Linked DNA regions of Macaca mulatta. The protein of the gene in region 2 binds, or shares a complex with, the protein of the main gene of each other region. Links are inferred from orthologs where the notes say so. Each region holds a gene or a part of one and is shown on either strand. Other genes may lie near its edges. The genes, in order: NDUFAF1, COA1, CMC1, SURF1, ACAD9, TMEM126B and TMEM186.

The links.
Region 1: COA1 (region 2) and NDUFAF1 share a complex: the UniProt entries of both Homo sapiens proteins name them as parts of the mitochondrial complex. The link is inferred for Macaca mulatta from reciprocal best matches to the Homo sapiens genes COA1 and NDUFAF1.
Region 3: COA1 (region 2) and CMC1 share a complex: the UniProt entries of both Homo sapiens proteins name them as parts of the MITRAC (mitochondrial translation regulation assembly intermediate of cytochrome c oxidase complex) complex. The link is inferred for Macaca mulatta from reciprocal best matches to the Homo sapiens genes COA1 and CMC1.
Region 4: COA1 (region 2) and SURF1 share a complex: the UniProt entries of both Homo sapiens proteins name them as parts of the MITRAC (mitochondrial translation regulation assembly intermediate of cytochrome c oxidase complex) complex. The link is inferred for Macaca mulatta from reciprocal best matches to the Homo sapiens genes COA1 and SURF1.
Region 5: COA1 (region 2) and ACAD9 share a complex: the UniProt entries of both Homo sapiens proteins name them as parts of the mitochondrial complex. The link is inferred for Macaca mulatta from reciprocal best matches to the Homo sapiens genes COA1 and ACAD9.
Region 6: COA1 (region 2) and TMEM126B share a complex: the UniProt entries of both Homo sapiens proteins name them as parts of the mitochondrial complex. The link is inferred for Macaca mulatta from reciprocal best matches to the Homo sapiens genes COA1 and TMEM126B.
Region 7: COA1 (region 2) and TMEM186 share a complex: the UniProt entries of both Homo sapiens proteins name them as parts of the mitochondrial complex. The link is inferred for Macaca mulatta from reciprocal best matches to the Homo sapiens genes COA1 and TMEM186.

The regions. Positions count from the first base shown.
Region 1 is NC_133412.1:18,739,133-18,742,632, reverse strand, and holds part of NDUFAF1 (complex I intermediate-associated protein 30, mitochondrial), read left to right. Parts: intron 1-1,529; coding exon 1,530-1,715; intron 1,716-3,500. UniProt on the Homo sapiens protein: As part of the MCIA complex, involved in the assembly of the mitochondrial complex I.
Region 2 is NC_133408.1:84,623,426-84,627,707, reverse strand, and holds the start of COA1 (cytochrome c oxidase assembly factor 1 homolog), read right to left. Parts: upstream 2,801-4,282; 5' UTR 2,705-2,800; exon of another isoform or gene 2,224-2,704; intron 1-2,223. UniProt on the Homo sapiens protein: Component of the MITRAC (mitochondrial translation regulation assembly intermediate of cytochrome c oxidase complex) complex, that regulates cytochrome c oxidase assembly.
Region 3 is NC_133407.1:20,311,549-20,315,572, reverse strand, and holds the start of CMC1 (COX assembly mitochondrial protein homolog), read left to right. Parts: upstream 1-1,224; 5' UTR 1,225-1,388; coding exon 1,389-1,407; intron 1,408-4,024. UniProt on the Homo sapiens protein: Component of the MITRAC (mitochondrial translation regulation assembly intermediate of cytochrome c oxidase complex) complex, that regulates cytochrome c oxidase assembly.
Region 4 is NC_133420.1:9,172,817-9,175,934, forward strand, and holds the end of SURF1 (surfeit locus protein 1), read left to right. Parts: coding exon 1-8; intron 9-949; coding exon 950-1,022; intron 1,023-1,105; coding exon 1,106-1,268; intron 1,269-1,574; coding exon 1,575-1,656; intron 1,657-1,734; coding exon 1,735-1,804; 3' UTR 1,805-2,329; coding exon of another isoform or gene 2,330-2,434; 3' UTR 2,435-2,611; downstream 2,612-3,118. Other genes in the region: RPL7A (large ribosomal subunit protein eL8), read right to left, coding at 2,330-2,434, 2,612-2,681. UniProt on the Homo sapiens protein: Component of the MITRAC (mitochondrial translation regulation assembly intermediate of cytochrome c oxidase complex) complex, that regulates cytochrome c oxidase assembly.
Region 5 is NC_133407.1:155,085,261-155,089,241, forward strand, and holds the start of ACAD9 (complex I assembly factor ACAD9, mitochondrial), read right to left. Parts: upstream 2,801-3,981; 5' UTR 2,738-2,800; coding exon 2,588-2,737; exon of another isoform or gene 2,412-2,587; intron 1-2,411. UniProt on the Homo sapiens protein: As part of the MCIA complex, primarily participates in the assembly of the mitochondrial complex I and therefore plays a role in oxidative phosphorylation.
Region 6 is NC_133419.1:86,220,570-86,224,685, reverse strand, and holds the start of TMEM126B (complex I assembly factor TMEM126B, mitochondrial), read right to left. Parts: upstream 2,801-4,116; 5' UTR 2,795-2,800; coding exon 2,714-2,794; intron 1-2,713. UniProt on the Homo sapiens protein: As part of the MCIA complex, involved in the assembly of the mitochondrial complex I. Participates in constructing the membrane arm of complex I.
Region 7 is NC_133425.1:10,021,461-10,025,592, forward strand, and holds TMEM186 (transmembrane protein 186), read right to left. Parts: upstream 2,801-4,132; 5' UTR 2,776-2,800; coding exon 2,773-2,775; intron 1,747-2,772; coding exon 1,108-1,746; 3' UTR 341-1,107; downstream 1-340. Other genes in the region: PMM2 (phosphomannomutase 2), read left to right, coding at 3,044-3,109. UniProt on the Homo sapiens protein: As part of the MCIA complex, required for efficient assembly of the mitochondrial complex I.

The DNA.
Region 1 (3,500 bases), on a different chromosome or scaffold from region 2:
GTCAGCCTGTGGCTTTCTTTTTTTTTTTTGAAACGGAGTCTTGCTCTGTCACCCAGGCTGGAGTGCAGTGGCATGATCTTGGCTCACTGCAACTTCTGCTCTCCAGGTTCAAGTGATTCTCCTGCCTCAGCCTCCTGAGTAGCTGGGACTACTGGTGCATGCCACCATGCCTGGCTAATTTTTTGTATTTTTAGTACAGACAGGGTTTCACCATGTTGGCCAGGCTGGTCTTGAACTCCTGACCTCGGGTGATCCACGCCCCCCCCCGCTTGGCCTCCCAGAGTGCTGGGATTACAGGTGTGAGCCACTGTGCCTGGCCCAAATATTCATTTTGGAATAATGAAAATAGTAGATAACATTTATTAAGCGTGATGTGCCAGTCCTTGTGCTAAGCACTTTATATTATCCCATTTATTCCTCACAACAGTCTCCTGAGGTAAGATCATCCCAGGTTTATGGATGAGGAAACAGAGTTGGATAGATTTAGTAACTTGTCCAAAGTTACACGGATAATAAATATTAGTTTATATCTAGACTTTGGTGTTCTCGACATCAGAGTACCCTTGAGATTGCTGTAACTAAATGCCTTTGGAAATGAACTAAATTCCACTTTTGAAGAGAGAGGCAGTATAGATAGTTGTTAAGCACACAGATTTTGGAGTTAAACAGCATTGGATATACCACTTATTAGCTGAGTGCTTAGTTTGTTTATCTGTAAAACGGGGTAAGATGCTAATAACCTATCATAGCACTGTTGTGAGGATTAAATTATGCATGCAAATTATTTAATGCACATATTCAATGGATGCTAGCCACTGTTGTTAAATATCACTTTTAAAACTTAAGCTCTTTTCTCTATAGTTTTCTGACTTGTGGAAAGGCAGTTGTCATAAAATAGGCCACTCAGAAATCACCGCTCCTTGGCCGGGCGCGGTGGCTCATGCCTGTAATCCCAGCACTTTGGGAGGCCGAGGCGGGTGGATCACCTGAGGTCGGGAGTTCGAGACCAGCCTGACCAACATGGAGAAACCCCGTTTCTACTAAAAATACAAAAAATTAGCTGGGCATGGTGGTGCATGCCTGTAATTCCAGCTACTCGGGAGGCTGCGGCAGAATTACTTGAACTCGGGAGGCAGAGGTTGTGGTAAGCTGAGATCGTGCCATTGCACTCCAGCCTGGGTAACAAGAGCGAAACTTCGTCTCAAAAAAAGAAAAAGAGAAAAAAGTCATTGCTCCATAGGACCAGGTAAAGGAAATACATTCATTTCCATTCAGTGAACACAGGTGAGTGCCTACCCCATGTAAACACTGTCCTGGGCCAGTTGTGTGTTGAACATTACCTTAGAAACATATAACTAAGTCAGTATTTTGTGCTAAAATAATAATCACTGGGTTTATCTGCCTTCTTATGGGGCAGAAAGTCAGAAAAATGGTTAGTGAATCCTGTTGATGATGCTGACTTGGTGATGACTCACATTTTGCTGATAGTGGAGAAGGAGGTGCAATTAACTTTCCTTTCAATATCGTAGGGTGCTTTTGAGAGGAAGTTGTCTTATGATTGGTCGCAGTTCAATACTCTGTATCTCCGTGTACGTGGGGATGGTCGGCCTTGGATGGTGAATATCAAGGAGGACACAGATTTCCTCCAGAGGACGAATCAGATGTATAGTTACTTCATGTTCACCCGTGGTGGACCCTACTGGCAGGAGGTCAAGGTACAGCATAAGTCTTCATTGTTTAAAAAAATGAGGTCTTGGCCGGGCATGGTGGCTCACGCCTATAATCCTAGCAATTTAGGAGGCCCAGGCAGGTGGATCACCTGAGGTCGGGAGTTCGACATCAGCCTGACCAACATGGAGAAACCCTTTCTCTACTGAAAAAAATACAAAATTAGCTGGGCGTGGTGGCACGTGCCTGTAATCCCAGCTACTTGGGAGGCTGAGGCAGGAGAATTGCTTGAACCCGGGAGGCGGAGGTTTCGGTGAGCCAAGATTTTGCCATTGCACTCCAGCCTGGGCAACAAGAGCCAAACTCTGTCTCAAAAAAAAAAAAAAAAAAAAAAAAAAAGTTGGTGTCCTAGGCCAGGTGTGGTGGCTCATGTCTATAATCCCAGCACTTTGGGAGGCCAAGGTGGGTGATCATCTGAGATCAGGAGTTCGAGACCAGCCTGGCTAACATGGCAAAACCCTGTGTCTACTAAAAATACAAAAATTAGAGGCCAGGCGCCATGGCGCACGCCTGTAATCCCAGCACTTTGGGAGGACGAGGTGGGCAGATCACGAGCTCAAGAGATTGAGACCATCCTGGCCAACATGGTGAAACTCTGTCTCTACTAAAAATACAAAAATTAGTTGGGTATGGTGGCGCGCGCCTGTAGTCCCAGAACTCAGAAGGCTGAGGCAGGAGAATTGCTTGAACCTGGGAGGCAGAGGTTGCAGTGAGCCGAGATGGTGCCACTGCACTCCAGCCTAGCAACAGAGCGAGACTCCATCTCAAAAAAAAAAAAAAAAAAAAGGCCGGGCGTAGTGGCTCACGCCTGTAATCCTAGCACTTTTGGAGGCTGAGGCAGGCGGATCACGAGGTCAGGAGATCGAGACCATCCTGGCTAACCCAGTGAAACCCCGTCTGTACTAAAAAATACAAAAAACTAGCCGGGCGTGGTGGCAGGCGCCTGTAGTCCCAGCTGCTTGGGAGGCTGAGGCAGGAGAGTGAGGTAAACTCGGGAGGCAGAGCTTGCAGTGAGCTGAGATCTAGCCACTGCACTCCAGCCTGGGCGACAGAGCAAGAGTCCGTCTCAAAAAAAAAAAAAAAAATTAGTTGGGCATGGTGGCACATGCCTGTAATCCCAGCTAATAGAGGGGCTGAGGCAGGAGGATCGCTTGAACCTGGGAGGCGGAGCTTGCAGTGAGCTGAGTGAGATTGCGCCACTGCACTCCAGCCTGGGCAACAGAGTGAGACTCCGTCTCAAAAAAAAAAAAAAAAAAAAAAGGCCGGGTGCGGTGGCTCAAGCCTGTAATCCCAGCACTTTGGGAGGCCGAGATGGGCGGATCACGAGGTCAGGAGATCGAGACCATCCTGGCGAACACGGTGAAACCCCGTCTCTACTAAAAAATACAAAAAACTAGCCAGGCGAGGCGGCGGGCGCCTGTAGTCCCAGCTACTCGGGAGGCTGAGGCAGGAGAATGGCGTAAACCCGGGAGGCAGAGCTTGCAGTGAGCTGAGATCCGGCCACTGCACTCCAGCCCGGGCGACAGAGCCAGACTCCGTCTCAAAAAAAAAAAAAAAAAAAAAAAAAAAAAAAAATCTCACAAAGCCCCCATTTTGCTCATGTCGTATACTTGAGGGTCATCCTGAATTCTTCTCCTTCGCCCCACATCCAGTCTATTAGCGAGTCCCGTCACCTCTGCTTGCAAAATACACTCAGCAGCTGACCTTTCTAGCCATCTCTTCTACTCCCACCCTGGTCCAGGTGATTGGATTATTGCAGCAGCTTCATTATT
Region 2 (4,282 bases):
CTAAAAGTTAATCTCATGTGCTTTTCATCTAAAAGAACGGTAGCATAATCTAAAAGACTGTCACATATCTGATAAATGACTTGTATCTAGAATATATAAAGAACTCTTGCAACTCAATTACAAAAAAGAACCTAATTTAAAAATGGGCAAAGGATCTGAGCAGACATTTCTCCAAAGAAGATACATAAATGGGCAATAAGCACTTGAAAAGATGCTCAACATCATTAGCCATCAGGGAAACGCGATTTGAAACCACAATATTTTCAAAAAGTTAGGAGATTTTTAATGGTTGCAACACAAAGAAAAGATGAATGTTTGAGGTGATGGACATGCTAATTACCTGATTTGATCATTACACATTGTATACATTTATCAAAATAACATTCTGTAGTCCCTAAATATGTACAATTACTACATGTCAACGAAACAAAAAATGAAAACACGATGACACACACTTCACACCCACTAGAATGGCCAGAATCAGAAAGACAGATAATGACAAGTGTTGGCAAGGAGTGAGAAATCAAAACCCTAATACACTACTGGTGAGAATGTTAAAAAGATGCACACTGATGCTTTGGAAAACAGTCTGACCGTTTCTTAAAATGTTAAACAGAGATACCATATGACCCAGCCATTTCACTCCTAGGCACATATGCAAGAGAAATGAAAACATGGTATGTCCACACAAAAACCTGTAGGTGAATGTTCACAGCAGCATTATACATAATAGCCAAAAGGTGGAAACAATCCAAACGTCCACTAACTAATGGAAAATAAATCGTGGTAATACCTATAAAATAAAAGATTAACCAGCAATTAAAGAAGTACTGACACATGCTATTAAATACAACACAGACGAACATGAATGTTAAGTAAAAGAAGCCAGCTGAAAAAGACCACATGCTGTATGATTTCACTCACATGAATAATCCAGAACAGTCAAATATACAGTCAGTCAATTCATAGTTGCTTAGGGCTTAGAATGGGGAGTGGGGATGGGGAAGTCAGGTGAGCCTGCTGAATAAGTACAGGGTTTCTTTTTGGAGTGATGAAAATGTTCGAAAATTGTTCCAATATGGCTCTCACAAACTGAATGCAGCACATTAAACATGAACAAAAGAATACAAGAATAACTTACTGCAGTCTGTCTGAAATAGACTTAATAAAATTAAACCAACTAATGAAGTTGAAGAAGATTACAGCATATTTTGTGATGATGGTTGTACAACCTTGTGAATGTACTAATTACTTTTAGGTTTGGTTTTGTTTTTTATTTTTTATTTTTTTTTTTTGAGACGGAGTCTAGCTCTGACGCCCAGGCTGGAGTGCAGCGGCGCGATCTCAGCTCACCGCAAGCTCCGCCTCCCGGGTTCATACCATCCTCCTGCCTCAGCCTCCTGAGTAGCTGAGACTACAGGCGCCAGCCACCACGCCCGGCTAATTTTTTGTATTTTTAGTGGAGACGGGGTTTCACCGTGTTAGCCAGAATGGTCTCGATCTCCTGACCTCGTGATCCGCCCACCTCAGCCTCCCAAAGTGCTGGGATTACAGGCGTGAGCCACCGCTACATTTTAAATGGTGAATTCTATGGTGGGTGAACTATGTGTCAGAAAGTTGTTTTATTTTTTTAAAGGACTGAAGACTGTTTTGTTTTGTTTTGTTTTCATTTTATCCCATTTTTTAAAACAGTGCCTAGCAATATTATGAATTCAATCGATTTTGGCTAAATGTTAAAACAAAAATAAAAACTTGGGTAAACCATATGAAACTTTGCCGTATCTAAAGTTATTAAATTACTGTAAACTGGCATGGTGGGAGCATAATATGAGTGTACCTGCAGGTGTGTTTTCCATGAAAGTAGCAAAGACTGAAAAATTCAGCAGAATCAAGACCCCGAAGGCCCCTTAAGTTAGGCTAAGAAATGTGTATTATCCTGAAGGCAACGGGAAGTCCAGGAAGATTCTGAGGACAGAAATAACACAATCAGATATGTTTTAAACGTGCAAGTGTAAGCGAAGAGTTGCTACTTCTATCCAAAAGTGAGGCACCATTTCCCCCAGGGGAAAATGGGAAGGAATTAGGGGAAGACTGGAGAAACAGGTTATCAAATTATCAGAATCTCCATAGATTTTTAAAAATTACACAGCATCCACCCCAAACACACATACAGACTGACAGGCACTGATACATACATCCAATGTCCCCTACACAGAAACTCACTTTTGTAGTCAGCTCCTGTTGGTAGGGTTTTTCTGTCATTCAAGTGTGGCGGGGACAAAAAGTATTATAACCACTAAACCAGATAATTCTTTCCTACAATAATGTGGGCAGCGTACTCCCCAGGTGTTGAAATTTAGTACTACCAACAAAAGTACCCAGTCCCAACTCTTCGAGAGGACCCCAACTCTTTACAGTGTGCTGTTGGGGATGCCCAGCAAAAACTGCAGGACAAAGTCAACGTTAGCTCGACACAGTCTCCTAACTCCGAGCGGACGGAGCCAGCGCGGGTTACCAGGAGCCAAAGAAGCAGCGCAGGGAGGTCGCGACCCGGAGCCGGCGCGAACCTCCGCGATGTGACCCGTGAGGGAACTCTCCAAGCAGCAGAGCACCCCGCGCGCGAAGGCGGCCGCCCGGATTGCAGAAACAAACGCTTCTCGCTGGCGGGGGAAGACGGAGACTCTTACTGCCGCAGGAGACTAACCTGTGAGCAACAGAACCACCACGCTGTGGAGAGTGTGAGCAGTTCTTCCAGGCGTGGGGGGAGCACGGGTAAATGACCGCGGTCCGGCGCGCCAGCGGGGAGCAGTCGAGACTTCCGGCGTCTGCAGCTCGCAGGGCTAGAGCGTCGAATCGGGGCAACCGGAGGCTTCAGCTCACACCGGATTGTAAATGCTAACGCGGGTCTTAGGGCCGGCGGATCCAGGACTTAGGTCGCCGGGACTTGTGGCTTCTGCTTCTCAGACGTTCGGACTCGCGCTGGGAAGGGGTTCGCCTCCCCTGGTCCCCGCTTTTTTTTTTTTTTTCTGCGTCCGGTTATTGCAAATGCATTCAGTCCAGTAGCACTAACCCAGGAAATTTAAGCACCGGCTCACGTTATTTCTCGCAGGTATGTGGCGCTTCCGCTGGCCTCTAAGGACACAAAGCCCCGGGCCGTCTGACCCCCACTCCAGCACTGAAATCCATGCCGCCCCGTTCAGCTGACAAATTTGGCAGCACTAAATTTTATTTTATTCTACAAATTGAGTGCCCAGTTAACACCAGGGAGTACCGGGGTAAGAAAATTTCAGAAGTCAGGTGGATAATAATAGCATTTACCTCATAAGTTTGTTATGAGGATGTAAAGCGCTTAGAATAGTGTCTGGCACTTTGTAGGCGCTCAGTGAATGTTAGCTATTTTTTTTTTTTTTTTTTGAGACGGAGTCTTGCTCTGTCGCCCAGGCTGGAGTGCCGTGGCCGGATCTCAGCTCACTGCAAGCTCCGCCTCCCAGGTTCACGCCATTCTCCCGCCTCAGCCTCCCGAGTAGCTGGGACTACAGGCGCCCGCCACTTCGCCCGGCTAGTTTTTTGTATTTTTTAGTGGAGACGGGGTTTCACCGTGTTAGCCAGGATGGTCTCGATCTCCTGACCTCGTGATCCACCCGTCTCGGCCTCCCAAAGTGCTGGGATTACAGGCTTGAGCCACCGCGCCCGGCCCACTATTATCATCTTAATGTCAAGCTTGAAATCCAGTATCTTTCCTCTGCGAAGCCATGACTCCAAGACTAATTAACTTTGGACTAAGGCATTTTTAAACTCTTGATCACACATCCCTATCACAAAAAAAAAAAAAAAAAAAATTTACATGTATCATGTATGGCATTAATATATTATGCATGCTATAAAACTTTCACAAGACATCAAACTTTTTTTAAGTGAGGTAAAAACAATTTTTAAACTTTTTAAAAAAACTGCTAACAGAAGTTCTTTTCTTCCTACACAATTAGGTTGCCAAACATACATTCTATCACTCTGGAATCCACTAGCTAAATGAGAACATTATCAAAGCAACCTACCGTTCAATTCTGAGTTCCCAGAATGTTTCTTTTCCAAAGAATTAATAGAAACTAATCAGACTGTGAGATACTTGAACCATAAGGACTATTTAAATGGTTCTTAGAGAAAAAGAAGAAATAAAATAGGCATCCACTGAGTAATATTCATTGATGCAACATTGACTATTGACTTCTTACATTTTCAAAGAAAGAGATTGAGATTATAATACCTTACACCAAGCTTAATA
Region 3 (4,024 bases), on a different chromosome or scaffold from region 2:
ATTTACAAAACATACAAGGAAAAGGACCTGATTCCCCGGCTGGGTGAGTGAAACGTTAATTCTTCACCTTGGCACCTCAACCTACAGCTGTAATAAGGGCCGTTATGCCCAAATAGGCCCTTAAACGGAAGACCTGCTAAGCAGAGACCCACTTTCCCAGCCCCGCTCAACTGCCTCAGCTTTTCTGCCAACTGACCAGGCGGAAGCAGCAGCAGGGGAGGAGGGACTGCAGGTAGGTGGGGAGGGGATCATTTTGAAAGCCCTAAATCCCTTGCAGGGAAGAAGCAGCTGCTCCTTGTTTTTCTAAACATCTGTCCCATCTGTCCCAGGCCACACCTCACCCTTTGGTGGCTCGAGCCAGTTAAACGTGAATTTGACAAGAAAGCCCTTCTGAAGGCTGGTTTGTGAGTGGAAATGAACCTAAGTGCCACCTAGAAAGTTTCTTCTACTGACAAGACGTTAGTAGGGGGTCTTCAGCGGGACGGCTATTACCTTCCTTCATTTTATTCTCACAAAACACAGCTTTTACTGATAGAGGCGGGATTTGTAACGTCACCCAAATCAGACTGTACGCCCTGGGGATATTATTTCACAACATGAGGTACTTCTAGAGCCCACATTTTAACCCCTAGGAGAGCCACAGCCTAATTGGAAGGAGAAATAACGATATTGCACACACCATACCGCCTTTACGGTAGAACAAGCTGTGCACATCTAGTGCCTGTGGCGTTTATCACATTTTTCAGCGTGTGGCTTTTATTTGTCTCCTCTGCCACACTGCTCCTTGAGAACAGGGACGTTATTTTTATTGTTATTTTCCCCTCGTATTCAGAACCGTGGCTGGAACTTGGTAGGCATGAAATAGATATTTATGAATGAATGAACGTTAACGAAGAAAAGAAAAGGAACTGAATGATTCATTTGGTTCTCCGAAGGCGGGTGTGAGGGGCGGGGCTCGGACTTTGACCCAGTTACCGAGTGAGGCGCAGTCCCAAAGTCCTGCAGGTCCGGCTCCAGTCACCGCAGACCCGGGTCTACAACCGGTGCTCAGGCCTCCCGAAGCGAGCCTGCGCGCGTCCTGCACGGTCCCGCCCCGAAGGAGCGCAGCCACGCCCCCTTCTCTGGTCATTCCCTCTGCGAAGTCAGTTCCACTCTAGTTACAGGATTGGGGCGGGGCCGGCAGAGCGCAGGCGCAACGGGCGGCGGAAGTAGGAACCTGGGAAGGAAGAGAGAACGGGGCCTGGCTGTGCTATGCCAAGGGCCCACGTTTCTGTTGTGGGAAGCTCCAGGAGGTCGCACGTGCGTCCGAGCCCAAGCCCCTCCCCTCCACTCCCCTCCCCGCTTGCCCCGGAGCCGCCAAACGGCCGGCTTCTTCTCGGCCCGCCGAGATGGCGCTCGACCCCGCAGGTACCCGGGCGGGAAACGGGGTTTGCCGAGGGGCTTTGCCCTGGGTCTCACTCCGCGGGCCGTGCGGGCTGGAGACCGACCTGGGAAAGGTGCAGAGCTTTGGGTGGCATTGCTTCCACCAGCGTCTCCTCACGCTCGGCGTCTGCTTCACCCAGTCTTAGGTCATCTTCTCACTTGTTGGGGGTTATGGTTAGCTGAGGTTGCTTTTGTTGTCTAAACTCTCATGCATTGTGGTTTCTTACTTAACGCGACTCGTCTCTTCATTGTCACCCTCTTTTCGCCCCTTAAGGGCACAGACTCATTTAATGTATGGTGCAGACACTCTGGCCCCAGAAAAATTTTTATATTTGTTCTGGCGCACAGTTTTACATTTCTGTTTGGGAGTTCATGGACCCCGAGTTCATCCTTGTAACCCAACTTAAAAACACATTTCAAAGGATCCATCACTATGGCAAGAGTCAGTTTCTTTGGGAAGGATCTTCAAAGTCTTGAATGTTGTTTTAATCTCCTTGCTTCCAACCACTTCCGTTTGCAGCAATAGTTTACGTCCCCTCGAATTCCCGTCCTTGTGAAAGGTGACCTGCAGTATCTTTGCTTTAGGCTATTCTTGCAAGGGAATAGATAACCAACAGGAGGGAATGGTAATTGGTCTAGTCCATTTCTTTCATTTTCTGGATACAAAAAGTCAAAACATTGAGAGGTGAAATGGCGTCAAACTTGGGAGATTCAGAAATGGGAAATGCTCTTTCGGAGACTTCAAGGAGCATGAAAAATATATGTAGCACAGAAATAATGTTTTAATTGAACACGTTATTACCATGCTAAGTGTTCTCTGTTATCCAACAGTATGTGATATGGTAGGTTCCTTTAGCTCCATTTTACAGATTAGGAAACCGAGGCGAAGAGAAGTTAAGTGACTAGTCCAGCAGGTAGTGGTAGATCAGGGAATACTCTAATTTGAAGCATAGAGGAGTTTTGGAACACAATGATCATGTTCATTTTGGACTAGGTGATTATGAAACAGCAGTTGATCTGGGCTTTGAGGGATGGAATTTCCAGTGTTTGGAACTGGAGAAGAGCAGCTCCATGAGCAAAGGTTTAGATAATAAAGTGCACTGTGCGATGCTTGGTTTCAGGATGACTACTATGATTTCGTTCTTGAAGGTAGAAGGGGTAGGGTGTAAGTGAGGGGTGAGTAAGGAAGGTTCAGGTTTAGTCCCATATAATTTATGGCATTTATTTTTTTATTTTTTTATTTTTTTTATTTTAGTGGGACGGAGTCTCACTCTGTAGCCCAGGCTGGAGTGCAGTGGCTCGATCTCGTCTCACTGCAACCTCCGCCTGCTGGGTTCAAGCAATTCTCCCACCACAGCCTCCCGAGTAGCTGGGATTACAGGCACCCGCCACCACGCCCGGCTAATTTTTGTATTTTTAGTAGAAATGGGGTTTTGCCATGATGGCCAGGCTGGCCTGGAACTCCTGACCTCAAGTGATCCGCCTGCCTCGGCCTCCCAAAGTGCTGGGATAATAGGTGTGAGGCACCACACCCAGCCTAATTATGGTATTTCTGAACTTGAAGTGACATATAAAGTCATCTCATATAGATGAGGAGATTGAGACTGAGAGAGGTTAAAGATTTCCATATATCTATAATTTTTGAATTTAGACAAGGAAATTTGGGAGAAAAATCTTCATACTTGCTGTCTTCACTTGCTTACCTTCCAGTTACTCATAAGCCACTCCAATCTTGTGTTGTACCCAAGGCTGCACAGCTAGTTGCTGGTTGAATCAAGTCTGGTTAGAACCTAGGTAATTTCATTTCCAGTCCAGCGCTGTAGACCATGCCACCTTTTGAGTATTGATTAAACAAAGACTTGTTGAGTGTCTGGTATATGGCCCGTATTGTTCTGGGCCCTAGGGAACAGTAGTATATAGGACAAACAAAATCCCTGCTTCAATAAAGCTTATCTAGTGGTAGAAAAAGACAATTAACACCCCCTTCTCCTTCTACACAGACACGTGCGTGGGCACACACACACACACACACATTTTTACAGATTGTGATAAACATGAAGAAAATAATGTCATGTGGTAGATGGTGAAGAGATTAGTCAGTGAAGAGCTTTATGAAGAAGTGTCATTTGAATTGGAATCTGAGGGATGAGAGGAAGCTAGGCAAAGTGTGCTAGGCCATCAAGTAGCAAATATTTAACTTGAATGTGGGTCAGAGTGTGGAGGGGATCCATAAGGAAATATACTAGGAAAGTGGGTGGTAGCTAAATGCCTAGATATTGCAGAGGCTGCAAGGCCTCAAAGGCTGGCTGTGATAATAAAACATTTGGATTATTTCTAATGTCATCAAACGCCTTTAGAATCTTTTAAAGAGGGCAGTAACATAATTTGTGTGTTTATTACCCTGACTACAGTGGTAGCATGCATTGTAGAGGGGTCAGGTAATAAGTGGCAGAAGGGAGACAGGTTAAGAGATGGGAGCAGTAGTCCAGGCCAAATATGTTTGTATCTTAGCCAAAGATGGTAATAGAAAGATGGACAGAAATATACAGCATCATGAGGAGAAATTGACAGGACCTGCTGTTGCATTGAATAAGGATGGTGA
Region 4 (3,118 bases), on a different chromosome or scaffold from region 2:
GACCTGGGGTGAGTAGGGTATGTGGGAGCTGGCTGTCCTGGCAGAGGCAGTCGGGGTATGCTAATTTACATCACTATTTCCTTCACAATCCCTAACCTTGGTAAGACCCTGAGGAACCCAAGGTACCCAGAAGATTCAATTCCTTGCATCGTTTAAGTCTCTAATTGTGACATTGACTTAACCTTCTCAGCTGGCTCATTTATGACTGGGTAATTTCTATATGTTGACCTCTGAAGGGAAAGGAGGGATTCGTGAAACAGGGGCCCCTCCTCTGGAGAACTCTCCAGTTGCCCACACATTAGATGATAGCGGACTATGAAGAGAGGCCAGTTGAGAGGAATTCAAGAGAAAGGACCTCAGCTCTACCTTGAGGGAGTGGAGGCAGGGATGGTTCCCTAGGGGGCGTTAAGAGATGGGAAGAACATTCCAGGCAAAGCAAATGATAGGTACAGGAGCACCTGTGTGATTAACTGGGGAACTGGAGGATTCACGTACAAAAGAAAATAACTGGGGCTCTTGTTAACCCATGGGTTCCTGTTTTAGGCCTGGGATAGGGCCCAAATGCTCATCTCCAGCAGGCTGGGGTGACAGGGTTGTTCCTCACGGCTGCCCTGGTTATGAGGGATTGGAGACAGCCATTGCCACAGTTCAGGGGAGAGGTGTGGGGTCTACTCTTGGATGGCAGTGTTGCTCACCAGTTGCACACTGGAGTGGGTAGACCACAAGATGCAGAGATAGAGGGGGAAAGCCGCATTTTTCAGGGAGGCTTTTACTGACCACGAAGGGGCCTCAAGAGAGGAAGACTGCCTGTGTGGCACTGCCAGGGCTCCCCTGAGCCAGTCCTGTTTTAAAAGCCTTCCTTGGTGCTCTAGTTGTTCCTATGGGTGCCTGAGTGACCGTGTTCATTCAAAAACCCTCCCCACCTGACATAGTCCTTTCATTACCCTAGAACCACCATCCTGGTTAATAGAGGGTTCGTTCCCAGGAAGAAAGTGAATCCTGAAACCCGGCAGAAAGGCCAGGTAAGGGACATGGACCCTTCCTACTTTAGAGAAGGCTCTGGGAGTCCGCCAGGCTCTGTGCAGTCTCACACCTTCCTTTATAGATTGAGGGAGAAGTGGACCTCATTGGGATGGTGAGGCTGACAGAAACCAGGCAACCTTTTGTCCCCGAGAACAATCCAGAAGGGAACCACTGGTATTACCGGGACCTGGAAGCTATGGCCAGAATCACAGGCGCAGAGCCCATCTTCATTGACGCCAACTTCCGTACGTTGTGACCAGCCCACCCCGGAATAAGTAGCTTTTGTCAATAACTGTCCTTCCTCCTAACTCTCATTGCCCAGTCACTGCCGTGGCTTATGTTCTCGCATGTGTGTATATGGAGGGGGGGCGGGCAGCAACTCAGCAAAGAGGAACCTCGGCAAGTACTGAGCAGACAAGGCTGGGGATGGTCACCCAAGGTAAAGGCCATACAGGACTTCCAACTGGCCACACAAAAATGACAACCACTAGGAAGTAGTGCAGAGGCTGGCAGGCAGCAGAGGGTGGACTTCAAGTCTGCTGTCTCTGCAGAGAGCACAGTCCCTGGAGGACCCATTGGAGGGCAAACCAGAGTTACTCTGAGGAACGAGCATCTGCAGTACATCGTGACCTGGTGAGTCCCCAGTGACCCTCTGGCTCCCTCCCCTTCAGCCCAGCAGCCTGCTAATGCCAGCTTTCTTTCAACCCCAAGGTATGGACTCTCTGCAGCTACATCATACCTGTGGTTTAAGAAATTCCTACGTGGGACACCTGGTGTGTGACAGATCAGCTGCTAAAGCCCTGTCCCTGAATAATGAAGTAAAAAGACTGCCTTTATGCTGGATCATGTGCTGCTGGTATAAAGTTCTGGCCTTCTACCTTAAATGAGCTCATGACTGGTTGATGATAAAATCCTGGCTTGGTTTCAGTCCAAAGAACTTTCCCAAAACTTGACACGCAAGGTACATCTCTAGGAAACAAAACGCCTGGTGTAAGAATATATAAGGGCAGGAAGGACCAGGTGTGGTGGCTCACTTGAAGTCAAGAGCTGAGACCAGCCTGGCTAACATGAATCAGCCAGCCACCTGGGATGCTGAGGCACCAGAATATCCTGAACCTGGGAGGCGAAGGTTGCTGTGAGATCACATCACTGCAACTCCAGCCTGGGCAACAGAGTGAGGCTATCTCAAAAAAAGGGTACTTCTTAGCCCCAAATAAGATTCAACCGAAGATACTCAACAGACGCTGGCTGAAGGAAAATTTGAATTTTAATTATTTTTATGTACAGAAAACTCAACAGTGTACATTTAACCCAGCTTAGTAGCAAGTTCTTTAGCCTTTGCCTTTTCGAGCTTGGCGATACGAGCCACAGACTTGGGACCCAGGACATTGCCGCCCCAGTGACGGCGGATCTGAAAAGACAGAAAGAGGCGGTCAGCTTGACTTGTTTTCTGATATTTTCAAGGTTATTAGTTGCGTTATTCTGTTGGACTGTTACAAGCTGATCGTCAGAACTTCTCGTAAGTTAAGCCAGCCAGTTATTTGGTAAAATGATTTGTGCATGACAATATTTTGTGTAAAGCTCTTACCTCATCGTATCTGTCGTTGTAATTGGTCCTGATAGCTTCCACCAGCTTAGCCAAAGCGCCTTTGTCTTCCCTAAAAGGCAGGAGGGAAAACAAAAGTGGGGCTTTTTTGGTCTTAGTTTCCCCTTTAGAACGCAGAAATATCTTCAGTTTTAGCTCAAGACAATCTTTTGCCTCAGATACAATGTTGACCACATGGTTTATTCAGGTGAAGAAATTCTTAACCATCACTGGCAAAAGTTCAAATACATTTTTTTTTTTTGAGACAGAGTCTCGCTCTGTCGCCCAGGCTGGAGTACAGTGGCTCAATCTCGGCTCACTGCAAGCTCCGCCTCCAGGGTTCATGCCATTCTCCTGCCTCAGCAGCTGGGACTACAGGTGCCCGCCACCACGCCTGGCTAATTTTTTTTGTATTTTTTAGTAGAGATGGGGTTTCACCATGTTAGGATGGTCTCAATCTCCTGACTTCGTGATCCACCCACCTCGGCCTCCCAAAGTGCTGGGATTACA
Region 5 (3,981 bases), on a different chromosome or scaffold from region 2:
GAAAACCAGATCTTCTGTGGAATTAGACGTGAACTAGGAGAATAAGAGTACAAGGTGACGCCAGGTGTTCTGTCTGAACAGGTGGAACAACAGAGCCACCATTATCTATGATAAAAGAAGGCTGGTGGAAGGACCAGGATTGGGTGGGAACCAGGAACTCAGTTTTGGATCTATTAATCTCAAACGCCTGTTAAACCTCTTAGCAGAGCTTTTGAGTACAAAGGTAGATTTAAAAAAGGACCTTGGCTGGGTGTGGCAGGGCGTGCCTAGTCCCAGCTACTGGGGATGCTGAGGTGGGAGGATCTCTTGAGCCTAGGAGTTCAAGGTTGCAGTGAGCTATGATGGTACCACTGCACTCCAGCCCGGGTGACAGAGGAAGGCCCCAACTCTGAAAAAGCAAAAGGAATCTGGAGCTCAGGGAGAAATCTGAACTGGAAAAAGAAATTTGAGGCATCAGGATATTGATGATATTTAAAGCCAGGACACTAAATAAGGTCACCCAGGAGATGGTTGTAGATGAAAAGACATCCACAGACCCAGCCTTAGTAAATTCCAACTTGGCTAGTTGGAAACACTGGTCATTGTTTAGCAGTAAAGGAGCTAAAAAAGAACTAGCAATTGACACAGAGAAGTATCAGTCAGTGAAGTATTTAGAACATTCAGAGAACGATGAGAATAGTGATTCAGAAACTAGAGAAGAAAGTGTGTCAACAGGGTAGAAGAACGAACAGCGTCAGATGCCAATGATGGGCCAAGTAGGATGAGGTCTGAGAACAGATCACACGATTTGACAACAGAGAGGTCACTACTGACTTCCATGGCCATTAGGGACAAACGTCTGAATGGTAAGGTCTCAAAATCCAGTAGAGAGAACAGTTAATGATTCCGAGAAAGGAAAGAATTACCCTTGAGTAGGTGAGAAGGCCTGGGGTCTAATGAGAGGTTGGTTTTGCCAGAAGCAGACAGTTCAGTCATAGTAACAGAATGTAGATAATATGGGCACATGCAGGGGGAGGGGGTAACTATGCCTGTGAAGTTCTCATCTGACTGCATGGATTTTCTCAGTGGAATGGGAAGCAAAGCTGACAGCTGAGAGTAAGGGCAGGGCAGGTGGTGCCAAAGGTTTATGATGGAAACAGATCTGAAGGATTTGTGTTCTTTCTTCACCATGCTGCTGGAAAGCAGGAGGTCCCAGGATAGAGCACCACACTGCCCCAGGTCCTGGGTAAAAGGGTTTCCCATATGTCAAAGACATAGCTCTGCACCTTCTAGCCGGGCAAACTGCTTTTAGTCTGAGTCTTAGCTTCCGCATCAATAAGGTTGCTTGCTATAAAGGGATCAGCCTGACAACCTCAGAGGAATGTTCCAAAGAGAAGCCAGGGAATAACTTCCGTGATAGAGGATCAGCCAACATTCAGCCAAGCTCAAAGCAGGGCACCTCGAGGAAATAGCAAGTATACTGTTGCTTTCCTTAGAAGATAAAATAAAACACAAAGGAAAAAGCAAGAAATGTGTTTATTCCTATTTTGTAGATGAAGGCACTGAGGCACAGGGAGGTGAAACCATCAGCTCCAAGGTCATAAGACTAGTGTTGAAGCCAGTTCTCTCTTCTGCTGCACAGTACTCTACAGTTTAAGACGATTCTCCATGCACCATTTATCTCACTGGGGCTCTACAACACCTCTGTGAAGGAGACACAACACTATTTCCATTTTAAGGCTGAAAGAACTGAGTCTCGGCCGGGAGTGGTGGCTCACGCCTGTAATCCTAGTACTTTGGAAAGCCGAGGCGGGTGGACCACCTGAGATCAGGAGTTCGAGACCAGCTTTGCCAACATGGTGAAACTCCATCTCTGCTAAAAATACAAAAAAAAAAAAAAAAAAAAAAAAAAAACCGGGCATGGTGGCGGGCGCCTGTAATCCCAGCTACTCCGGAGGCTGAGGCAGGAAAATCGCTTGAACCCAGGAGGCGGAGGTTGTAGTGAGCACTCCAGCCTGGGCGACAAGAGCGAGACTCTGTCTCAAAAAAAAGAACTGAGTTTCAAAGTCAACGAGCCAAGACCAAACCCAAGTCTTCCAACTCTAAGAGGACAATGAGTGTTTTATAACCAAACTGTTACTACTGGCAGGGTTGTGCGACGCCCGGGAAGCATCTTGGAGCCAGATTTCTGAGGAACCTCAATGGCTGGGAGAGGCGCTACGGCTCAACTGGGGAAGGAAGCCCCAGGGCGCTGGAAGGTGACTGAGGAGGGACACGGTCTAAACTGTTTAGGAATAAGAGAGGAAGCCCCGCACATTTCCAGACCAGACCAGCTGAGATGAAGGCTGCTTTGTAAATTACCTAGCCTAGAGTTTTCCAAATTCTGACAAAATTTACACTTCCAAGGGTCCTCCGTCTAGGAAATGTCCCACCCTTTCTCTAGGAAGGTTTTCCTGGAACTCAGGAATCCAGAGTGTTAACACGCCTCGCCCGCAGGGTGTGTCTCTCTGGCAGGTTTGGGGAATCCGACAAAGCTGAACACCAATCTTGCAGCTGAGGATGAAAAGCGGGAGCCAGACAGCAAGGATTCGCCCAGGGCTCGCGTTACCTTCTTGATTTTGCCCAGGAAAAGCTCTTTGGCGAAAGCTCGTATAGGCGGGCTGGTGCGCAGTAGCCGCCGGTTCGCGGTAGAGACCACCAGACCCCGGCAGGCACGAGCCGCAGCCGTGGTACGCAGGAAGAGCCTGCACCAGCTCATGCCGCCCGCTGTTCCCCGGCCTCAGGCTCCACTTCTTACTTGGCGCAGCAGGGACACACACATGGTCCGCAACGTCGGATGACGTTACTGGCCCGCGACGCTGTGCAGTACTCACTGCGCTTGCGCGGTCTACCGCAACAGGGGATGGAGAGGCCAGAAGGGCTTGCCGGCTGCCACCTTCCGCGGCCAAGGCCGTTAGTCATGTGCACCTGGCTGGTCCGCGCTGCCTGATGACGTCACGTGCCCACGCTTCCCTCCGGTCCCACTGTGCTTGCGCGGCCAGAGTTGCTGGGCGGAGAAAATTGGAGGGTCGGGGCCGCGGGCATGTTGGCGGGTATGAGCTCCGGCCGTCGTGACGGCTGTGAGGGACCTATTTTTCACATACCAGCAGTTGTTTCCATAAATGCTAGCCATGGGAAATCTCCCTGTGTACAGAAACCTAAAGGCCGGCCCAGCTGCTTCCCCTTGCCTCTTTTGTCACTTGCGGCCGCGAGGCTGTGGTAAAACTTGAGGAAAGCAAAAGAATGGGGGAAATGCGCGGTATTGGGGTCTCTGCAGGGGCACGGTAAGGATAAGGTCCCATTTTTAACTGGATGGTGAATTCCTGAGATACTGTTTTGTACCTAGTTGACAAATATTTTCTGGAAGAGGAAAAGAAAATGGGTGTTCAGTCACAGAGCGGTCTGGATAAAACTGAGTCACGGCCGGGCGCGGTGGCTCACGCCTGTAATCCCGGCACTTTGGGAGGCCGAGGCGGGCGGATCACAGGGTCAGGAGATCGAGACCACGGTGAAACCCCGTCTCTACTAAAAATACAAAAAAGTAGCCGGGCGCGGTGGCGGGCTCCTGTAGTCCCAGTTACTCGGGAGACTGAGGCAGGAGAATGGCGTGAACCCGGGAGGCGGAGCTTGCAGTGAGCCGAGATCGCGCCACTGCACTCCAGCCTTGGGGACAGAGCGAGACTCCGTCTCAAAAAAAAAAAAAAAAAAAAAAAACTGAGTCACCTCTGTCTTGGGAAACACTGAAAAGGCAGGTGGAGGAAGAGAAACTACAGAGGGAGCTGAGAAGAGATGGGAACTATTGGATGGGATGGGACAGGCCAGGCTGTAGCCGCCCAAGGCGTTCACTTGCCCGCTGACTAGATAGCTGATTTATCAAGACAGGGGAATGGCAATAAGAAAGAGTAATTCACGCAGAGCCAGCTGTGCTGGAGAGGGAGTTTTAATAGCCAAATCAGTCTCCCC
Region 6 (4,116 bases), on a different chromosome or scaffold from region 2:
TCACACACTAACTTGAGAAATTGGTAGTATAATGATTATCTCTATACAGATGAGAAACTGAGGGTCTGAAAGGTTGGCTTGCTTAAGATTTAGTTTAGAGGGATAACATACTGATACTGTTTCTGTTTTCCTCTCTCCTCATTCTGAGAAGGCAGTCAGGCCCTTTGTAGTTGTCCTCCTAGCTCTTCAGGTGGGGAGGTGGAAACAATGGCTGCTTATTGACATCTCTATCCTCAGTTTCTCATGAAAGACTGAGTTCATTTTGGAAATCGTGTTTCATTTCCTAGAGAGGTAGGAGAGAGCAGGGATTGCCTTGGAGAACAGTGAGAGAGAAAAATCAGAAAGAGGGACACTGCTTCAGGAAGGGAACAGGCAGTAGATTGTGGCTACTACTTTGAAGTACATAAATTACATAACCAGTTCCCTATTACCACCTGTGGTGGAAGCAGAGCCTTTGCTAGAAATGATTATGTAGTATAGCAGAGACCCACACCTGCCACCACACCTGGCTAATTTTTGTATTTTTACTAGAGACGGGGTTTCACTATGTTAGCCAGGCTGGTCTCGAACTCCTGACTTCAAGTGATCTGCCTGCCTCGGCCTCCCAAAGTGCTGGGATTAAAGGCGTGAGCCACCGCGCCGGGCCCCAGAGACCCACAGCACTGGGCTCCTTGGTTGGAAGGTTCTTGTGTCCCAAGTGTGATGAACAGACAGCTGCCAATGTCAAGGGACCATGAAGACTTGGCCAGTAGCATCTTAACAGAAACTAGAGAGATTAAAAAACAAAACAAATCAACAACAACAAGAAAACAAACCCTGCACTCTCAGACAGGATCCTTTCTGAATGTTTTGCTCTGGGCAAGACTCTAGAGTTTCTGTGAAAAGTCTTAATAACATTTGTTAAATCCAAACATGTAGTTGCAAATGTTTACCTACTACAGCAGCCAAGTGGAAAGTCTATTGCCGCTAAATTCACTGCTTTTTACTTTTTTTCCTCCAGATTAGCCAAATAGCCTCTTTACAAATGTACACTAATCTCAATTTTAACGTTTATATTGAAGGCAAATACTAAATCTCAAGGTTAAGGAGTCCTAGACAAGAGGATTAGAGGGGATAAAGCATAATGAATACACAAAATACTTCATAAATCAGTGGTTCTCAACCTTCAGCATGCACAAGAATCACATGGGGTATTTATTTGAAATGCAGTCTCATGAACTCCCTCCTGAGATATCTGGATTCAGCAGGAGTAGGATGAGGCCTAGAATCTGCATTTTAATAGCACCGAGTGCTTTTGATGCTGTAGTCAATGGACACATATTGAATATTACCGTAATACTCATTTGCTGAATGAGCGGTATGTACCAATCCTAACTATAGAAGGGCCAGTTGATTATACACGGCTCCTGGCATCAACATACGTAAGTTATGAGCTTCTTTGAACCTTCTTATGGCATTACACAATGAGTAATAATGGACCAATTTCTTTCTCTGCATCATCGCAGAATTGTACTCAATCTTTTTCTGTAACATTTCTGGAGAGGGCAGGGGGAAAAAAAAGTAAAATATTTTACAAATTACAATTTTTCAGTGACTAGACTTACATCTTTTTCCTCTCCTGGACACCCAAATGGAAAGTATAAGGGATAGTAACATCTAAGGGAGATTCTATACCTAACCCATCTATTGTACTAAGATGGCAGATGTCAATAACATGAGTAACCATAAACCTTACATAAATTTTTGTTTTGCTCTCATCCAATTCACTGAAGTCCTCCACCTTCCACCAAAAACAAAAAACAAAATAAACTTCCAGGCAATATCTTCTACTAATCTCCTACCTAGTCTACACCCTAAACTCTCTATAGGGAAAGCAGACACCCAGGATTATGATTACAGGATAGCAAATACTGAAAAGAACACAGGAAATATTATTGAGTGCTTAAGCTTTGCAAGGCACTGTCAAAGAATCGACTGCTTTCATTACACCCCTCCCCTCTTAAGGCCACTCAACTAGTCACCACGCTTATACCAGTAAGAGTGGATTATAGTTTGCAAATCATTTAACGGTTTTGTAGTGCTTTCATGTGTATTATTTCACCTAATAATACATTTTTCACCTAATAATAAATTTCAACTTTAGAATTTTATTCAGTATTCTCTCATAATTTAGGGAGCACCTGGTATATGCCAGGCCTCCGAGTAATCAAGATACAGTCATCCCATCCTCAGGAATCCACAATGTAGTGGGAGTTCAGAACAAAAATGCTGGCAATTTAAACACAGAATGAGAGAGTGACATAAACGAAAAACCCAACAACCTAAGAAAAGGCAAACTTAATCTAGCCAGAGGAGGCGTGGGAAGGCTTCCCGGAGGAAGTGACATTTAAACCAATATCCTAAAGAGAACAATTTGGCAGGGGAGTTGGGACGGATAGAAGCAGGGAAATATTCCAAGTTGAAGAAAAAGCCTGTGCAAAGGCCTGGAGACAAGAGAAAACAAACCGCAGATAATGAGTACTAGAACTTAGGTAATCTACGTTCTCTCCGCCTCTTTCCACAACAGCTGGAGACTTAATCGACTGCTCCTTGCATGGACTTGGGGGCTGTTTTAACTTTTCAAATCTCCTTTAAGTGTATCATCTTGGAAGACTCTGCCAACACTCTGAAGCTGCAGAAATCACCCCCCATACCACTTCGGATTTCCGCCTACCTTGGGCGCTTCCTCAGTTACCACCGGCACCACACCTGAATCCCTCAGCTTGGCCCCAGCCTCATACCCGAACACCGCCATTTTGATGGCTCACGTGATTTGCTGGTGGGCGGGAAGTGGGGCGGGTTTACGGCTCATGCCTCTCGCTTGCAGCCCGGGCCCGCCCCCCTCAGTCAAAAGCCGCGCCCTCCATCCTGTCTGTGATTGGGCGCGGTGTCTAGAAATTAGGGCCACTTATTCGCTTAGAGGAGGTCCAGGTGCCTGTGGGTCCGCCCCCATCGCCAGCAGAGTATTTCCTTCCCTTGCTATTTGTCAGTTTAGCTCCCTGTTTTCCTCGCGTCTTGCGGAGAGGATGGGGCGGCCCAAATGCTGGAATGTTACTGCGCTCCTGCCTCTCCTCAGGGCACCTCTGGTAGCTGGGAACTAGCTGCCTGCCCCTTTCAGTCCTTGAGGGAACTCGCCCCTTTGCCCTGGCCCGTGTGGTGTTAAAGCTCTGTTTCTCGGGCACCTCCTCCTCCAAACCCCCAACCAGCCGCCCAGCGCCGTCAGAGCAGCCCCGACTAGCCTCCTCCCCTCTCAGCCGTCTGACTCCTCTCCCCAGTCTGTAGTCCCCTCAATTTCCATCCTTTAGCCCCGCTTGGAAGGAGACAGGAGAGAAATTTGCCCACTACCCCCCGAGAAGACCCACTTGTCAGTCGTGTCTCAGGGTGGGGGGCACTGCAAGGCCTGGCGCTGTTTTGTGCACGTTAAATGCCCAGCAGTATCTCCCAGACCGGCAACCCCCGACCCTCCAGTCTCCATGTCTTAGAGAAGCCAAATTCGAGAGTTATATAATTTCTAGTGCTGCTGTTGCTCCTGCCTGAAGAAACACTTCATCGCGTGGAGGGTGCAGGACATTTCAGTGCTCTTCCCTAAAAGAACGGGGCTTGGGCAGGGGTGGCCAGCGGTGGCAGAGAAATGTCTTGTCTTTTCTGCAAAAGGAAGGTGGGTAGTTTGAAGAGAGATTGAGAGAAAAGGATGTGGATGTGAAAGCCAAGCAGCTGCACTTTTTCATTTTGAGGAAATCGCGGACCGTTTGCATAGCTTATGCTTACATGTCTAATACTACTACGGCGTCTCTGAAAACACCTTTGGGGGAAGGTTTGGCTTCTCTCGAAGTCTCAGTGTTTTTCCTCGCCGGATAGGGAGCTGCTTGGATGCGAAGAGATGGCATGATGTGAATGACTCCAGTGTGAAGAAATCTGCTTCGCCAACTCATCCTGCATCAAGTGCCCATTGAGTAGCACTGTCACTTTAATGTCTCCATGCCAAGGGATTGCTTTCCTTTTTTTTCAATCCTCTCTGTTAATACATGGGAGGATCAGAATCAGAGGTGCATTAAGGATCAAGCCTGGGGGCTTGGA
Region 7 (4,132 bases), on a different chromosome or scaffold from region 2:
CAGCCTCCCGAGTAGCTGGGACTACAGGTGCCTGCCACTACACTCGGCTAATTTTTTTTTGTATTTTTTAGTGGAGACGGGGTTTCACCATTAGCCAGGATGGTCTCGATCTCCTGACCTCGTGATCCACCCGCCTCAGCCTCCCAAAGTGCTGGGATTACAGGTGTGAGCCACCGCGCCCGGCAATAAAACATTCTTATTGACTTTCGAGTGGCAAAATAATAAAGATCATGCCTTCCTTCCTCTTTACTGTGTTACAAATTGCATAATGAACATGTATTATTAATTATGCAGGGCAATGCATATAACTGGCTTTAGTTTATAAAAGAACGTACCAGCATACGGTCCATTAGGCTTTATTACACTGCAGGGCCATCCAAAGCAAGAGCCTCTAGATCTCAGCGTGGTGAACAAATCTCAAATGGGGTTTCGTGCTCACTTGGACGACATCGCTGCTCATCGATGTGTAGTTAACATCCTGGCAGACCTTTCTGCTGCTGGATGTGTGAGGGGCACAGCACAGGGCTCTGGAAGTCCCTGCTGACTGCTCGAAGCCTTTCTCCATGCCAAAACCTCTGACCAAATGCTTAATGCTATCTGCTCTAGGCTGCTGAGTCTGCCACACGTTTGACATTTATTCCCACATCCATCCCACGAAACAAGCAGGGCTTTCCATTTTACAGATGTGAAAACCAAGGTTCAAAGAGACTCAATAACCCACCCCAGGACAAGTGACAGAACTGAGACTTCTGACTCCAAATCCTATGCTCCCCCACCACACCTCTTTGCCTTTCAATTTCACACCAATGGACTGTCTGGGTGACCCTGGCATAGGTTCTTCTAAGAACTGGCTCTTAACAAAAACTTCTGGCCGTTATCTGACTGAATGTCACACACGAGTGCTGTAAGAACTTGCTTAGAGCCTTTTTCCTAAACCTGGACACCAGCTCTTGCCTTGTGAATTTCTTCATCACAAAACACATGTTCCCAGGGGCCCAGGCAAAGTCTCCAAGTACCCAATCCCCTTTCTTCAGCTGTGCCCACACCCTCAGCCTTCCTGTCAATCCAGGTGACCCAGGGTTACCCAGAGGTCCAGGCCCCAGTTGTTTACTTGAACATCTGATGTCTCCCAAACACCTGCGTGAAACGCTCTCTGTCCAGGATGTGTCCATAGCGCAGGGTGACGTAGAAGGTCTGTTTCCCGCTGTACCGCTGGATACGCATGAACATCTCCTGAGGCTGGTCCTTGGTTTCTGTCAGGGGAATCACATCTGCCAGGGGACAGTATGTGTCCTGCCGCCAGCCCCAGAAGCTCAGATGGGCCACCCGCAGCATGGTGCCAGACTCATTCAGATACAGGATACCAACCAGTCTCCGAAAGAAATAGCTCATCCAGCACAGCATGGTCAGGGCAAAGCCCGATATCCCACTCATCAGGCACACGGTGTTGAGAGTCAGGAGGCCCTGGGAATACCAGTAACAGGCTGGTGGCAAAACTACCACTGTCAGGGCAGTCTGTGCCAACTTCAGTCGAGACAGGAACCCAAAGATTCTGATGGCATCAAAACGGTAAAACATCCAGAATTTCTCAGTCTCTTGGTTTGGTGGTTTCTCCTTCGAGGTGGGTGACCTGCTCCCCACCCACCTCTTAGGATCCTCCTGCCCACTGCAGCACCACAACCCATGGAGAGGCCTTTCCCACGCAGCTTTTCCCCGAAATCTAGGCACAACTCGGAGAAGGGCAGCCTGAAAGGGAGACAGTAGACGATTTCTCTCATGGAATTCAACCACATTAATCACACGGTGAACATCTGCAAAGCACCATACTCCAAGGCTTCTGCCAATCCTGCAAGGTCACCATTATTGCCAGAGGAGGGAAGGGTAAAGCCAGATGTTATCTCATGTGGGCATCACAACAGCTATCTAAGATAGTTATCACTATTTCCACTTTACCACTAGGGAAACTAAGCCCAGAGAGGGTAAGATATTTACCAAAGAACACACAGTCAGTGAGTGCAGCAGAGTCCTCCTTCCATCAGGCAATTCCAAAGAAATACAAGAAAGGAGGTGCGGCCATCAATAATTCAAAACATATCTAGGGAGTCCCAACTCTGGGCTGGACAATGGATCCACAAGGGGGTGTGAACATTTCCCCAAGCAGGAAACTGAATAATCAATGTCTTAGTGGGGAACTCAAGCAACAAATCTGTGAGATAGTTATCCCAACAAACTTTCTAATTCTGTTTACGTTATCTTGGGTGCTGGAGGGAACTGCTGCTTTCCCTTAACCTAGTCAGGGGAAGGGGAAACAACGAGGAGGAGGAGGAGCGAGGCAGGGAGGCCCCTACACGTAGCACAAACATATTATTAGGTGGGTAGTGAAGCAGTAAAAGCTCTGGTTCCAATTCTGGCTCCATCAGTCACTACCTGTGGATTCTTGAGCAAATCACTCCACACCCCTGAGCTTCGGTTTCTTCGGCTTTCAAAATGGGGACTCAGAACACAGTGAACGAGAAGATGGTTTCAAAGCCCTCAACTTAGTACCTGATGCGCTGTGAGAGCTCGGCGAGTTTTAGCTATTACTACTGTGAGCACGTGACGCAAGGAGGGCAGAGAAAGCCCGGGAATGGCGAATGGTAACCCACGCCAGAGCTTCCTCCCACGGATTCTTCAGGTCCGAAACTCAGGCGTCGTGCCTGCCTGCCCCAGCTCTGACCCCGACCGACCCCCAAAGAGCATCACCCCCTCAAGGATCGCCACCAGCCTCCTTACCATGGCTCCACAGCCTGCTGCCGGAAGTAAGTCCCACCGGCCCCCGGAACCTCTAAGAGCGCATGCTCGAATGTACAAGGCGGGCGTGATCCGCGTTGCACCCTGGGATTTGCGGTCCAGGAATCGTGGCTGGCGCTAGTCCCAGGCGTTGTGGGAACGGAGTCTCCTCCTCTTCCCGACGTGCCCTGCGGCTCGGGGGCCGAACTCGGAAGTTCCGGGCCGAGTTCCTGATGCCAATGAGTCTTGCGAGGTGCGGTTAGACGCTGGGGACATGGCAGCTCCTGGCCCAGCGCTCTGCCTCTTCGACGTGGATGGGACCCTCACCGCCCCGCGGCAGGTAAGTGGCGCCCGGCGGGCTGGTGGCAGCCGACTCAGAGTCCGTGCTGTTCCCAGTTGGAGCTATCGACTACCCAGGGTCGGCGCCAAGGGCTGGCTAAGGACCGCCTGCGTCCTCACGGGGGCTGGACCCTATTCTAGGTGCCCTGGAGGGATGAGAGGGAGGCCCTAACCAGCTCTTCAAGAGCTCTGATGCTTGGAAAGATGAGACGGGGCTGAAGAACTCTTAAGAGAAGGAAACTTATGCTTGGTTGGAAAATGCAATCTGGACTCACCGCTAGTCCTCGGGACCGATGGACCAGGATTTGAACCCGACATCAGCTGTGTGCCCCTTATCAGCTGTTTGCCGGCCTCAATCCTGTAACCAATGGGCTGTGCCGTGAGTCATTATATTAAAAACAGGTTTCCAGGTGAAATCGACCTAGTGGAGTCTCATCTTCACCTCTTCACAGCTGTGTGACCTTGAGCAAGTCATTAACCTTTCTGAGCCTCAGCATCTACAGCTTTAAATGGGGATATTACGTGTTCCATATGGTGACTGTGAGGATCAAATGAGATTGTGTAAGTTCTTGAAAGTATGTTGCACACAGCACACTAGGCCTCAGTAAATAGTAACCACCTCCACCACACCCATCTCCAGCCCCTGCAGTGGACTAGGAAGATGGAGGAGCCCTAGGTTATTACAGGCTGCCCGCTGAGAGCCTCTTTGGGCCTTTCGAAACTTGCTTTCCACTTCCAGATTTTGCTGCTACAGGCACAGATAAGTTTCAGTCACTATCAGCCTTGAGATGAGGCTTTCCTGTCCCCTTTTCAGAAATTGGCCACTGACAACCGGCCATTTCAACTTGAGAGTGGACCCCAATGGTCTCACTATCCTCAACTAATATCCTCACCCCTCGTAGTCTTCGCTTGGTGGTAACAATGGTGTGCTCCAGAAAGCCACGTGAAATGCGTGTGACCTTAGACGTATCATTTTGCCCTTGTCAGCCACAGGTTTGATCTACCTAGTGATGACACTCAACTC